3 linked regions of the Canis lupus familiaris genome follow. The protein of the gene in region 3 purifies or fractionates together with the protein of the main gene of each other region. This does not show direct contact. Links are inferred from orthologs where the notes say so. Each region holds a gene or a part of one and is shown on either strand. Other genes may lie near its edges.

What was found.
Region 1: the proteins of PA2G4 (region 3) and NPM1 purify together in Homo sapiens (affinity purification with mass spectrometry; 4 studies listed by BioGRID and IntAct, with this or other methods). This does not show direct contact. The link is inferred for Canis lupus familiaris from reciprocal best matches to the Homo sapiens genes PA2G4 and NPM1.
Region 2: the proteins of PA2G4 (region 3) and NCL purify together in Homo sapiens (affinity purification with mass spectrometry; 3 studies listed by BioGRID and IntAct, with this or other methods). This does not show direct contact. The link is inferred for Canis lupus familiaris from reciprocal best matches to the Homo sapiens genes PA2G4 and NCL.

What each region holds. Positions count from the first base shown.
Region 1 is NC_049225.1:41,659,973-41,664,476, forward strand, and holds the start of NPM1 (nucleophosmin), read right to left. Parts: upstream 3,202-4,504; 5' UTR 3,116-3,201; coding exon 3,058-3,115; intron 1,049-3,057; coding exon 969-1,048; intron 408-968; coding exon 288-407; intron 1-287. UniProt on the Homo sapiens protein: Involved in diverse cellular processes such as ribosome biogenesis, centrosome duplication, protein chaperoning, histone assembly, cell proliferation, and regulation of tumor suppressors p53/TP53 and ARF.
Region 2 is NC_049246.1:43,521,247-43,525,778, forward strand, and holds the start of NCL (nucleolin), read right to left. Parts: upstream 3,011-4,532; 5' UTR 2,864-3,010; coding exon 2,846-2,863; intron 1,695-2,845; coding exon 1,578-1,694; intron 396-1,577; coding exon 1-395. UniProt on the Homo sapiens protein: Nucleolin is the major nucleolar protein of growing eukaryotic cells. It is found associated with intranucleolar chromatin and pre-ribosomal particles. It induces chromatin decondensation by binding to histone H1.
Region 3 is NC_049231.1:783,675-787,751, reverse strand, and holds part of PA2G4 (proliferation-associated protein 2G4), read right to left. Parts: intron 4,022-4,077; coding exon 3,943-4,021; intron 3,848-3,942; coding exon 3,714-3,847; intron 3,413-3,713; coding exon 3,318-3,412; intron 3,201-3,317; coding exon 3,073-3,200; intron 2,898-3,072; coding exon 2,844-2,897; intron 2,632-2,843; coding exon of another isoform or gene 2,566-2,631; exon of another isoform or gene 2,300-2,565; intron 1-2,299. UniProt on the Homo sapiens protein: May play a role in a ERBB3-regulated signal transduction pathway. Seems be involved in growth regulation. Acts a corepressor of the androgen receptor (AR) and is regulated by the ERBB3 ligand neuregulin-1/heregulin (HRG).

The sequences.
Region 1 (4,504 bases), on a different chromosome or scaffold from region 3:
AAAAACCTGTTTGTAAGAGACCTAGAAAAATGTTTGTGTTAGACAGGCATTACAGGCAAATGCATAAACCAAATGAACCAACCAGCAAACCTGTTTTATCACCTCTGACAAATAGCGAACCAATATGTTCAAGAGTTATCATTCAACCCCACAGTGATGCAGCTGCTACTAAAAAAACACAAAGGAAATTCCCCCCTTTTAAGTCCTTGGTGTAACCTAAACAACACCTACCTTAATACAATAGAATTAGACCTTGACATAAAATCCAAAAGTCTCAGTGCCCTTACCGTTGGCTGTACAGACATTTTCAAAGTTGCCAGAGTGACTTTAATTGGACTGCCTTCATAATTCATTGCCTCTGCTTCAACAATGTGCAATTCATCCTTTGCACCAGCTCCCAAACTGACCTGTGAACAAAAATACTTTAAGTTCCTATTTTACAATCCCCCCAAAATTTGCCTTCTAAGAAAAAACTAAGCAATTATAAACCTATTATTACCACTAACAGAAAACTTATCGGTGCACAATGTCATCTTCAAGTTTTAGGTTGCCTTGCCAACCAATTTTTCATTTGAACAAACGCAGCAAATATATTTAATGGCATAGTTTTATCTGCTACCCACAGAATGGACCACCTAACATCTACTGTCCACCTATTCTAAGTTAGGCAGTAAGGCTGCAGGCCCCACTATGGAGGACAAAAAAATAAAATTTATCACTGCCCTAAAGGGCTTTTTCTAATGCAGCCAGAGAGGCAAAATACACAAATATGGAAAGTTGAACAGTAGTGTGACTCAACTTCACATTACCAAATGAAAAGTAAAGATGCCAAGTTTTATAGTACAGGTACAAGATCATGTATTTATAACACTCAGTTATAAACAATACTACTATGAAAATGTTAAGTCACACAAATAGGAATAGGAATCAAGAAAGGTCAAGTAGTTTATTTTGGAAAGTTTCAGTACCGTTCTTAAAGATAACTGGTGCTCATTTTCATCATTATCCACCTTAAAGTGGTAATCTTTGTCAGCCTTTAGTTCACAACCTGTAAATCAAGGGAAAAAAGCAACAGAGAAAAATGACACTGAAACTTAAGTGAGGATAACCGAAAGGTAACAGTTAATTTGTGACCAAGTTTCCCACTATTCTAGCTATCAGTAGGCAATGCAGAGGTAGCTCTTCCTGGATTTCTTGAACAGCAATGTCTAGAAACATCACGTAACATTTATACAGGGCTTTATAAATTCCACTTTCCAACTATACTATTTCATTTTCAACCACACTCTAGTTGTTTTTAGATAGAAACAAGCTCAAAGATCTAGTAAATCTGGATCTGGCAGTATCTGAAACGAAGTCTAATGTACAATATCGATAAACTTTAAAAAGGACTAATCACCTACCTACGAAAGAGAAGTGACCAATTTAGAAACGAGAATGGTTACACAAACACCTACAAGAACAGCCTGTATTCACAGGACATAAACTACAGATGTAAAAGACCCAAAACTTGCTAGAGGGGTCAATATTCCACCTTTGAAGTTAACAGAAATGATGTTCATTATGCTTAGAAATTATGTTTAAGAATAGATATATCCTAGGGATATTTCCCGTAGAAAAGATTAACACAAAAATACAGTATAAATTGACCAGAAACCCTAGCAATTCAAAAGGACTAGGAATAAAAGCCGTAACATATGGTGTAAGTTACCCACTCCCATCCCATCAATAGGCAAGTTGTTTCAAGTACCATCAGAATAACCTTTTAATTAAAGGACTCCATTTAATTGCCCTCTAACAGTTACTGGTACATAGATGTCTAAATGTTACCTCAATTAACAAATCTCAGCATGGTATATAAAGAAACGTGGGGGCAGGATTTGCACTTACTTCAAAGTCTGACAAAGATAGGGCTTCTGACAATTTCACTAAGATTGAAAACCAAAGCTGGCCTCTCTACTATGTATGTAACTGCTTTCTGGAGAGGGGAGGGGAAGATTCCAAAAACAGTACCAGCTCTTACTGAACCCCACACAAATTCCTCATCTTTTCAAAAAAGCTGTTTGCTCAAGGCCACAAGAAGGCTGTTTCCCCCAGCCTCCCTCCAAAAATCAACGCACCAGTTCTAGAGGCAAGGAAGGGTCTTGGTTTAGATCTACCCACTATTTACCTACAAGTACAAGCCCTCGTTAAGCCTCAAGCCTTCAGTTCTGAGCATCAGTCATGTGCAAAGTGGGCTGGTTCGATCTTTTTAACAAGTGCTCTATAAATGAGAACTGCCATCACGGATGTTAAGGACTGAACAAAGACTTACAGAATCTTGGCTCTACCAGCCTCTTCACTTAAGATTTCCCGCCCAACAGCTTCAATTAAGCCCCAGGATGCCACGCTCCGTGGTGACAAGCCACCGGGGAGACCCGGATGTAGTGCCCACACCCCCTCCTTCCCCCAACCACGTGGCAACCACGTGCTCCCAGCGGTTGCGGCCTCCTCACGCCCGGCCGCGCCTCCCCTCCCCCCGCAACGGGCCGAGGCACCGGGGCTGAAACTCGGCCCTGAAGCTCCGCACTCTTGAGGCCTAGGGACAACGCGAGGCTCTAAATACCCTTTCCCCCAGAAAGGAAGCCCACGGCCCACACCGCGGACTCCCTCAACCTCCAGGACCAAGCCGGGGCCCTGCATCAAAGACGCCGGCCAAGAATCCCAAGCCTGTACGAAACCACGCAGCTCAAGAGAAAATCAAGCCCGTGGCTCTACCGCGTGCCCCCAAGCAAAGCCGAACCCTCAGCCGGTCGGTTCTACGTTACCTCAGGCCCTGGGCCTGGGATCGTTCCTGCCCAAGGCTTCAGGCCGCCCCTCCTTTCACCGCTTCGTGCTCCTCTCTGGACCTCCCATCCCTTACGGGGCAGGGCCTCGGCGGCTCTCCTCCCTCCCTCGGGCCTCCAGCTTGCCTGGCTTACCCTCCCAGCCCAGGCCTCAGTGGGATTCCCGCCCCCCCACCCCCACCTCAAAGCCACCAGGCCCTGCCCGGCCTCACCCCACCCCCCCTGCACTTACCAAAAAGATAGTTCTGGGGCCGCAGGGGGCTCATGTCCATGTCCATCGAATCTTCCATGGGGCGGTGGCACGCACTTAGGTGGGAGAGAAGGCGGACGGAGACACACGACTACTGTTCCTCAGAACAGCCGCGCAGGACGGAATCACAGCAGGGAAAGGACGCGGGCTCCCTGCGCACATATATAGCACCGCGAAGATCTCGCGAGAGCTTTCCAAGTCCCGTCTCCGCGCGCGTGCTCGGGAGCCCCCCTCCCCTGACGGTCGCCCTCCCGCGCAAGCGCTCTTCAACTCCACTCCTTTCTACCTCGCCCCCCACCTCCTCCAGGTACTTCGCGGGCTCCCATGGAGCACGCGCACTCGTACCCCGGCCCCACCCCTCCGCCGCCGCCGCCGCCGCTGTGCGCACGCGCGCTCTCCCCTGGTGGCGCGCGCTGCCCCCCTCCCACCCTTCCACGTCCTCTCCCGCTCCCACCCGCCGGCCCAGCGCCTGGAGCCTGCGCTGCCCACCCTGCAAAATGGCGGCGGCAGCCCTTGGCGGTGCTAGGTATGGAGGGCGAGCCGGTTGTAAGAGAGCCAGAGAGCTCGGTTCACCGTTCCCCATCACTTCGTGCCTCTCAGGCCTCCAGGCAGGCAGAGCCACCTCGGGATTTTGACTCACCCGAAGGCTTGGGTTCAGAGTTCATTGTTTCCTCAAAGTTAAAGCTTCAGGTGCCAGAGACCCTGGATAACCGAGTATTCCTTGTTGGGGAGAAAAGATGTGGCTGCTGTCCCGACTTATTCAACTGCTTTTATAGCCCTTTCCTTGCTGAGTAAACATCTCTGAAGTTGAAATCCCTCATCTTTTTGTCATCTGGGGGCCTAAGGGGGACTGAGTGAGCCTCTTCCAAATGAGCAGGGCAGGCACCAAGCCTGGTTGATCTCTCCAGACGCGAGATTTTAAAAGGGCCACGTACCCGCAGTACTTCCCCGTGTAAGATCCCGTGAGGCAGATGTGAGTATCCCTTGTTTGGAGACGAGGAAACGGGCCAAGCGTCCAAATGAATGAAGCTATAGGACAGGATGCTCTAGCTCAAAGTCCAATGCTAACATCCCTCTAAGAGTTTGGAGGGATATGCCTGGGTCCGGTTTCAGATAGATAGATAGATAGATAGATATAGATATATATATATATATATATATAATTTGTGTGTGTGTGTGTGAGTTAATTCATGAGAGATACAAAGAGAGGCAGAGACAGGCAGGGGGAGAAGCAGGCTCCCTGAGGGGAGCCTGATGCAGGACTCCATCCCTGGAGTCAATGCAGAGCTGAAGACCGACCCTCAACCACTAAGCCACCCAGGTGCCCCCAGGCAGTGCAGTTCCTAATTTTAACGTTGCTAAGACTGTTCTGGCCTGTGAAGAAAACAAACGATTTACAAGAAATGCATTGACCTCGATTAGACTGGAA
Region 2 (4,532 bases), on a different chromosome or scaffold from region 3:
GCAGCTGCTTTCATCACTGTTGGCTCGAATTCATCCTCATCTTCATCCTCATCTTCCTCATCCTCCTCTTCACTGTCATCATCTTCTTCCTCATCACTGTCTTCCTTCTTAGCATTCTTACCGTTCTTTGCTCCCTTGGCTGGGGTGGCTGCTCCTTTCTTACCAGGGGTTGCTACCAATGCCTTGCCTGGTGTGGTTCCCTTCTTGCCAGGTGTTGCTACTGCTTTGGCTGGTGCAACCGCCTTTTTGGCTGGTGTAGCTGCTGCCTTTTTGCCAGGGGTGACAACTGCTTTCTTGGCTGGTGTGGCAACTGCGACTTTTTTTGTTGGGGAAACCATTACCTTCTTTGCTGGAGTTGTGGTAGCCTTTTTTCCTTTTTTCTGAGGAATAACAACCTAAAGAACAAATAAAACCAAAGGTAAGTCTTCTTCCAAACCCAAAAAGACAGCCTTGGTCCCATGAATGAGACTAAATTCTAACACTGTTCTGGTTTCAGACCCACATGCACTGGATGTTATGTTAGCATGCTAAACTACAGAACCATGTGCCAGAAATCACAGCCTTCATCTTCAGGTAAAATACTCAAGCATATAGAGCCCCTTTTTAACAGCTAAAATACCTCACACATTATAACTGCAACTTTAAAACAGGCTTTAAGAAAATTTTAAGCCTCGACTTTTTTTCTCCTCTGTAAGGGATAACAGCACCAACCTTACATATTGTTAGATTAGGAGTTGACATATATATGTAATTAGAAGTCTTGCACAAAGAAAGCTCTACTTGTTAGATGCTACTGAATCATTCAGAGGTCCTACAGTGGGCAGTGGTTCATTGAAGGCTTGTTCTTAAGACCAGTAAATGAGTATCAAATACACTGGATAGTTAGCTCTTCCTAAGTTTAGTAAAGAGTAAGCACCTTAAACCTGATAAAAACCATCGTTCATCTACATTAAAATTATACTTTTTTGCTCACTCCTAGTTTTACTGGGTACCATATCATCAGTAAAATATTCATTACATCCTAAACAAGAAATCTAAACACAAATACAATAGTTGTCTTTACAGTAAGCAAACAGTAATAGGTTAACACAAAGTGAGGTGGCAACGCTCAACCCACACCAAGATGTTCAGTAACCAGTATCACGATGCTCTTATACAATGAGAGACAAATCAATCCTGCTTGGAGGCTAGGAAAGTAATCTGGTAAAGCTAACCTCAGACCTGAATAAATGCACAGGAGTGCCACTTACTTAACAGTTAATAGTCCAGGCTGTTTGTTTATCTAGTAAGGTGGGGGTTAACATACTCAAACTAGAAAAATGTCATGGCTGAACACAAATATAACACCAAGCCCTACAAAAAATGCACATGAAAAAAGGACTCCCAATTTTTTCTCTCAAATTCAAATACTTACCTATATCAACATGTTAATGAAGAGCTTGGAAAACAGTCTCAGCAGGCCATACTCAATGAATATAATCTTATTTTTGCCAATATTTTCATACATCCAGTATCAGCTATTTCAGCTCTCCATTTCATAGTTTAACACACGTCTCCATAAAGTTGTATATAATTACCTCTTCTCCGCTGCTGTCATCATCTTCATCTTCTGACATTTCCTCATCTTCACTGTCTTCTTCTACCTCCTTTGGGGGAGGAGCCATTTTCTTGGGGTCACTTTGATTTTTACCAGCCTAAAATAGACATTTAGCACATTACACCTAAAACATCTGACCGTTCATATTATGCCATCATTCTTCAGAGTAAAAAGCAGCCGTCTCCCTACATAAAGTCCACATTTCCTAATGCTAGATATAAAAATTAACATGAACACTATCGAAGCCAACGTCAAAACAGCAACTGCCAACCCCCACCCCATTACTCCTGTCAGGTTTTACAGAAACTCAAGGATAAAAATGCAACTACAACAATATTATCTCCCTCCTCCTTTTGCCTTCGTTAAGCACATCCGTTTTTAAAACGATACTTCCAAAACCGACCATTACATCACGCATGATTTTAATAGACTACAACTGGCCAATTTTAACGGCCAACAATTCATAGCCCTTCACCGGGGGCGGAGAACCACACCTGGGGGGGAGAAAAAAAAGCTTTTGGTAAATTCTAGCACCAGATCTTACACAGTCGCCTGAATCCAAATTTGGGGGCAGGATCTTCAAGACAACTTTTATAAAAGAAAATCAGACCTTAATCTTACTACCTTTGGTCTCCCCATTAAGTTCTTTCCCGTGGAAAAAAACCCCGCCCCTTCCAGACCAGGCAGAGCCACGTGGGGATACCCCGTAGGTCACCATGTGCGCGCAGCAGGGCGCAGAAAGCACGAGGCAAGGCCTCCTCCTGAAGCCCACCTCGCGCCCGCTTGTCTGGCCGGGGCCCACAGGCCACGGGGCCTCCATCTGAAACCATCCCGCAGCCCCCCGCCTCCCCTCCAAGTCCCCTCCGCAGACGCCGGGACACACGCGGCGCGGCCCACGTGGCGGGCAGCGCGCTGAGGCACGTGCGTCAGGAGGCGGGGCCCCGCTTGGGCCCGTCGCAGGAGTTCGGCATCATCCCTCCACCCCGAGGCCCAGCGCCCCCTCCCCACTCAGTCCCTAAGTCTTTCGGCGCCGCACCAACCACCCGCGGAACCTGCCGAAGCTCTTCACCTCGCTACCAAATAGCCAAAAGCCGCGAGACCTCCCCGCCGATCGCGCGAGATTTCCCGCAGCATGGCGCCCTCGAACGCGCCCGGGACGGCGCGCAGGCCCTCCTCCTCGCGGCGCCGCGCGCGCGCTCCTCAGAAAGCAGGCCTCGACGTCCATGCTTGCGCAAGCCGTCTTCTTACCTTTGCGAGCTTCACCATGATGGCGGCTTATGCCGGCGGAGTGTGTGGCGGGCGAGTGGCGCAGACGAGCCCAGAAGAATCCAAGCGACGTCGATGGCGGCCGCGGGTACGAGAGGTTCCCGGAGCGCGTACGCTTGGCTGCTCGCTAGAGCTCGAGACTGAGGCGAAAGACTGAGCCTGCCCAGTAATCGCCTCTGGAAAGGCGACGACGGCGCCCTCGTGACTCCGTCTCGACCAATCAGAGGCTGCGCCCATCCCGTGGGCCAATCGCGAGCCTCTACCCAAGAACGGCGCGGGGCGGGGCGCAGGCGGGAGTGGGCGGGCCGAAGCGGGCAGGGGAGGGGGAGGGGATTCGGTGGCGGCGCCCTGGGGGCGGGACTCGCTTTGTGCAGGGCCCGCGCTGATTGGGTAGTGGGCGCGCGGTTCCTGAAGTGCCCCTCCGCGGCCCGCGCTCGCGACGCCTGCGCGGTAAGACGGCCGTTTTTGGCGCCGCTTGTTCCCGAGCCCCGGGAGGCTGGGTACTGGTGGTCTCCGGTTCCCGAAAGTGTCCAGGGTGCTGTCGACGCCGGAGGCCTTGCAGATGCCAGGCGGCCCTACGCGCGGCTCCGACCCGCTCTCCACGCCGAGCCGCCCGGCGGCCGAGGAGAAAGTGTTCGCCCGCTTCTCCCTCCGCGGATGAGCCCGAGACCTCCGGAAATTCGGGGACCGTGAGGTTCAAAGCGCCCGGGTTGGAGGCCCGCCTCCGCCCCCCCCCCCCCCCCCCGCGCCGTCTGCAGGTGGTTCTCTTTCGGGCCACGTGTCCGAAGCTGCCTCCTGAGGGCTGTTAATAAAGACGGTCGCGGATGTCTGTGAGCGCTGCACAAACGCCACATTTAATGTCCAGCCACCTCATGCGCTAGGTTTTTGTCCCAACGAGGAACAGGCCCGGAGGAATAACTTTCTGGTGGTCACCGGGTGTTACAACGGCGGCGGGGGGAGGAACTTGGTCAGGCCAAACACCGACCCATTGGCCGCGCAAGTTCCCTTTTTGTTTTTTGGGACTAAAGCATACCTTAAGGTGTGCTGACTGAGGAGGGTTCCGTGTCACCTAAGGGTCCCAAGAGCCAAAGGAAAGGTGCCCTCAATGGCGGAGGCACAGAAGGGCCTTTGCCTTTTGCTTTTGCCAGTTATTTTGATGGGTCATTGTGGGCAAACTTGTTAGTGCCGAACATCCCAGAGCACTTCCTTCGGTACAGAGCCCGCCTGCGACATAACCTGGACATCCAGTACCTACCATGTTTCTACAAAACCAGGATCCCTTCAGCTATCAGTATATTTCCACAATTGAACTGTTGTTTAGAGGCTCCTCCGTGGAGATTCTAATTCAAGAGGTTTGGGTTGGGGACGGGGATTTTGTGTTTTAACAGGGGCTCACGGATATTCTTGTGAACCATCCAGTTACTTTGCAATTCTTTTTTTTTTTTTTTTTAAGATTTTTAAAATTTATTTATTCATGATAGACACACAAACACACAGAGAGAGAGAGAGAGAGGCAGAGACACAGGCAGAGGGAGAAGCAGGCTCCACGCCGGGATCACGCCCTGGGCCAAAGGCAGGCGCTAAACCACTGAGCCACCCAGGAATCCCCTACTTTGCAATTCTTAACTGTCATACACCTGGCACTGAGCCTGTATGAAATCTACAGCTA
Region 3 (4,077 bases):
CCACTGGGCCACCCAGGCACCCCTCAGCTGTCTTTAGAGTGAGAATATTTGGTATTAAGGTAAAGAACTTATCCATCTCATGGTATGGTCAGGTCAGAAGCACTCAGAAAACATACCCATAGATTTGGCTATAGGAAACTTGATTTAGGAAGGATGAGAAAGAGCCCTTTACCATACAGATTTCACCTTACTTTTATAGTAAGAGTGTACAGCTTTTTGTGATCATCCTTTTTTCGTGTTTTCCTTTATAATTTACACAGTAACACTTCATCTTTTTAACTGGAAAAAAACTTTTAATACTTCAGGCCCTTGGGGATCCCTGGGTGGCGCAGCGGTTTGGCGCCTGCCTTTGGCCCGGGGCACGATCCTGGAGACCCGGGATCGAATCCCACGTCGGGCTCCCGGTGCATGGAGCCTGCTTCTCCCTCTCTCTCTCTCTCTGTGACTATCATAAATAAATAAAAATTAAAAAAAAATTAAAAAAAAATACTTCAGGCCCTCGTTTAAGAAGACCTAGTATTGTCACCATCAGAATATAACAATTTAAAAAAAAAAAAAAAAAGAATATAACAATTTTTGAAAAAAAACCTCCATCAACATTAAATCAAGTCCACCAGCATTTCACCTGTTGATTGCCCACTACAGTTGCCATATGAACATAGGTTTGAACTGCCATGGGTACATTTACACGTGGAATTTTAATCTATATACAATACCGTAAATGTATTTTCTCTTCCTTGTGATTGTCTTTATCTTACTGTAATAGAGTATATAATGCCTATAACACGTAAAATGTGTTAATGGTTATTCTAGCTTCTGGTCAAAAGTAGGCTATTAAGTTTTGGGGGGTCAAGTTACATATGGATGACTGTGCCAGCACGTTGGTGCCCCTAATCCTTGTGTTTAGGGGTCAACTGTAGTCTATAAGCTCTTATGAAGGGACTTACATTATTTTGTTCACTATAGTTATCTCTGTATCAGCAAAGCCTCACAAGTAAGTAAGATAGTCTAATAAATCATCCATCCATCTCAGACTGGCCCTGAAAAGTTGCCTAATGACAAAGGCATTTTTCCTGGTTTCTGAAATCAAAATACTTTTTTAAAGACTCCCCACTGAGCAAAGAGCCTCATATGGGGCTCGATACCAGCACCCTGACATCACGACTTGAGCCAAAGGCCGACACTTAACTGAGCCACCTAGGTGCCCCAATATACTTATATACAGGCTTTCTTTCTTACAGTACACCTTGTCCTAAACAAATTGTCACCAACAAGGGGTAAGATTTTACTCCAGAAAAATTTAAAAACTTTCATTAAAAATTTACTGTCTTAATTCAGAGAACCCAGGCTTTAGGTCTTCCCCAATCCACAGTACTTCTTGGTTTAGAAAGACAGAATGTGGCAACATAGAAAACTAGTTCCAAATGACTATCACTTCAACTGACATTTCCCCCACCTCCATCAAATAAGAGCACCATATGAAGGCACCAGGATTATGAGCAAATCCAAATTTATTTTAACGCCATGTCATTTTCAACATGTTTAAAAACCTCATAAGTTAGCGGGAGCCCTAGTTCCTGGGACAGCATGCCAGAGGTACTGAAATTCATCACCTTTCTCTCCAAACCCCTAGCAATTCATCCAATCCAAGTCCACAGCTTCAAAAAGCCAAAAGTTGTATTTTCAGTCAGTCTGCTCCTTTGGTTCCTGGTCTTTCAGGGAGGGAGGTCAAAATATTTCAAACAGGGAACAAAAACCAGTTGAGCTTCCAGCTCAGGTTTCTAAGATGGAGCAGGGGAATGCATTGACCCCCCCCCTCCAATTGACTCCAAAGAAATGGACAAGGTTGAGATGGATTACTTCTTCACAGCTTTGTGAAGACAAAAAAAAAGTCCTGTGGAACAGAAATGACTAAAACTAAAGAGATTTACAAATGAGGATCCATTTGACAGATGAGAATCCCTTGGTAAATTCAGGCCCCAGCTCCTAAAAATGAGAGGGGCCTAACCAGACAGTGTGGATCAGAAAAGGAATCTGCTACATGTGAATAAAAACAATCTGAAGAATATAGCTCTTCTCTATATTTTGAGGCCTGATAAAATACCTGGGGAGTGAGAAAAGAGAGGAACAAGCCCCAACAGATGGGAAAATGCTGACACCAGAGTGGTATAAAAAAATTTCAGCTGAGTTTTTAGTGGTGGTGGCTACTTTAGCCTTCTCCCTGTTATGTTGTAGGGCCATAAACCTTGACCAAGCAGAGAGTAGTAGAAAAAGGCTAGAAAGAGGGGCTTGAAGACGATGAATTTTGACTCCTGATTTTATTATCAATTTCTCTTTTCTATTTAAAGTAGTCTTCGGTGGCTGGGAAGCCTGGCCTCCCAAGACCAGAGTCAGTTGGAGCTGGTTGTTGTTGGAAGGGGTTGGGATGGGGACAGGGATGGGGGCAGGGAGACCCTGCTCTGCTGGCGGTCCTGGGTGGAGAAGACGAACTGCACTTCACAGAGCCTGGGGTGTGGTGGGAAGGGGATGAGGCAGGAGCGGCAAGCTGGGGAGATGGGACCCACCTCAGTCCCCAGCTTCATTCTCTTCTAATGTTTCCCCACTGGTGGCATTCTCTGCAGTCTTGGAGGCCTATATTCATGGAAAGAACAGGAAGACTTACCAGTTTCCAACTACTTGCAATAGTATCTGGGAGACCAAGGGCAAAAACATCCTAATGCTTTAGGTCAGGGCCAAGCAGGGCAGTAAGGATCTACAGAAATATGTACGTCCACCACAACCCAGGAAGGTAGACTAAAGACAGATCAGGTTCACCCTGCCAGAGAGGGAAGATCATAACACACCTTCTTTTTTTTCTTTTTCTGGGTTTTCCGACTTGCAGAACTCTGGAGGAGGGCCTGGAAAAGAGGAGGAAGAAAGAAAACAAATTTTGAGCAATGTAGAGGAAACATGAAATGTCACTCTCAGTATCTTAACTCTTTTCAGGCCTTTGTTGACATCTCATCCTCACTCCCAGGACAGGTGCCATGTGCTCGCCACTCTCCTTTGTCTCCTTTGTGCTCACACACTGACCTTTAGCTCTGCATCCTGGACTTCCATCTCAGACTTGTAGAGGTCAGGCTCAAAGGGACCACTGGTTATCCGCATGGGGCCATTGGGCATGAGCAGGACTGTAAATTTAAACTGGGCTACAAATTCACCTATAGGAGAAAGGAAAGGTTTTGATAAAATGACCCCCTGTCATAATCTTTTCTGAAGCTAGATGGTGGGGACCCTAATTAGGGGCTCCAAAGTGAAACTCTCTTCTTAGAACTCACCCTCCTTCTCATAGAGAACATTAAATGGCTGTAGCAGTTCATGTTTGGCGCACTCCACCACACCCATCCGGGCCTTCTTCTCATCCTCAAATGCTCTGGGTGAGGGAAGACAGATTCAGGTATCCTTAACCCCCTATCAAGTCTTACCATTTTCCTGTTTTTAAATAGCTCCTACCCTCAGGCAGAAATCATGCTTAGGATTGCTCTTGCACATTATCTTCGATGAGAGGGCAATGGGGAGAGGGAGAGAAGGCATGCATGCAGGCTGGAGCTACAAGTCTAGGCAGGGGCAGGGTGGGAGGGGGTGCACTGGGAGAGGTAACAGTGTTCCTGGGTGTGTGGTCTATGAGTCAGGCTGGTTCTGAGTCCTGTTCTTGTTAAGTGCAGTCATAGTACCTTAAAGTAAATGGCATGGCATCAAAACGCCTCTCCACCTCACTGAAGAAGGCACGTGAAGTTTTCATTTTTAGGCCATACTGTTTAGAAGGGTCTCGTTTGTAAATGGTGGTTCTCTGTCCTGCATCCTTGGCCTAAAAGAGTAATGCGTTAGGTCACAGTTGGTCTGGTGCTCTTAGAACATACCTTCAACTACCCCTCTTTGGTAGCTCTGGTAAACTCTCCTCACCTTGCCCTCTCCTGAGCTGACAAGAACATCCACAGCATATACTTCATGTACCTCAAATTCAGCTTTTTCATGGTCCTTCCTAAAAGGAATAAAAAGCGAACCATAAAAAAAATGATTAGTCCCTGGAGTATGAAA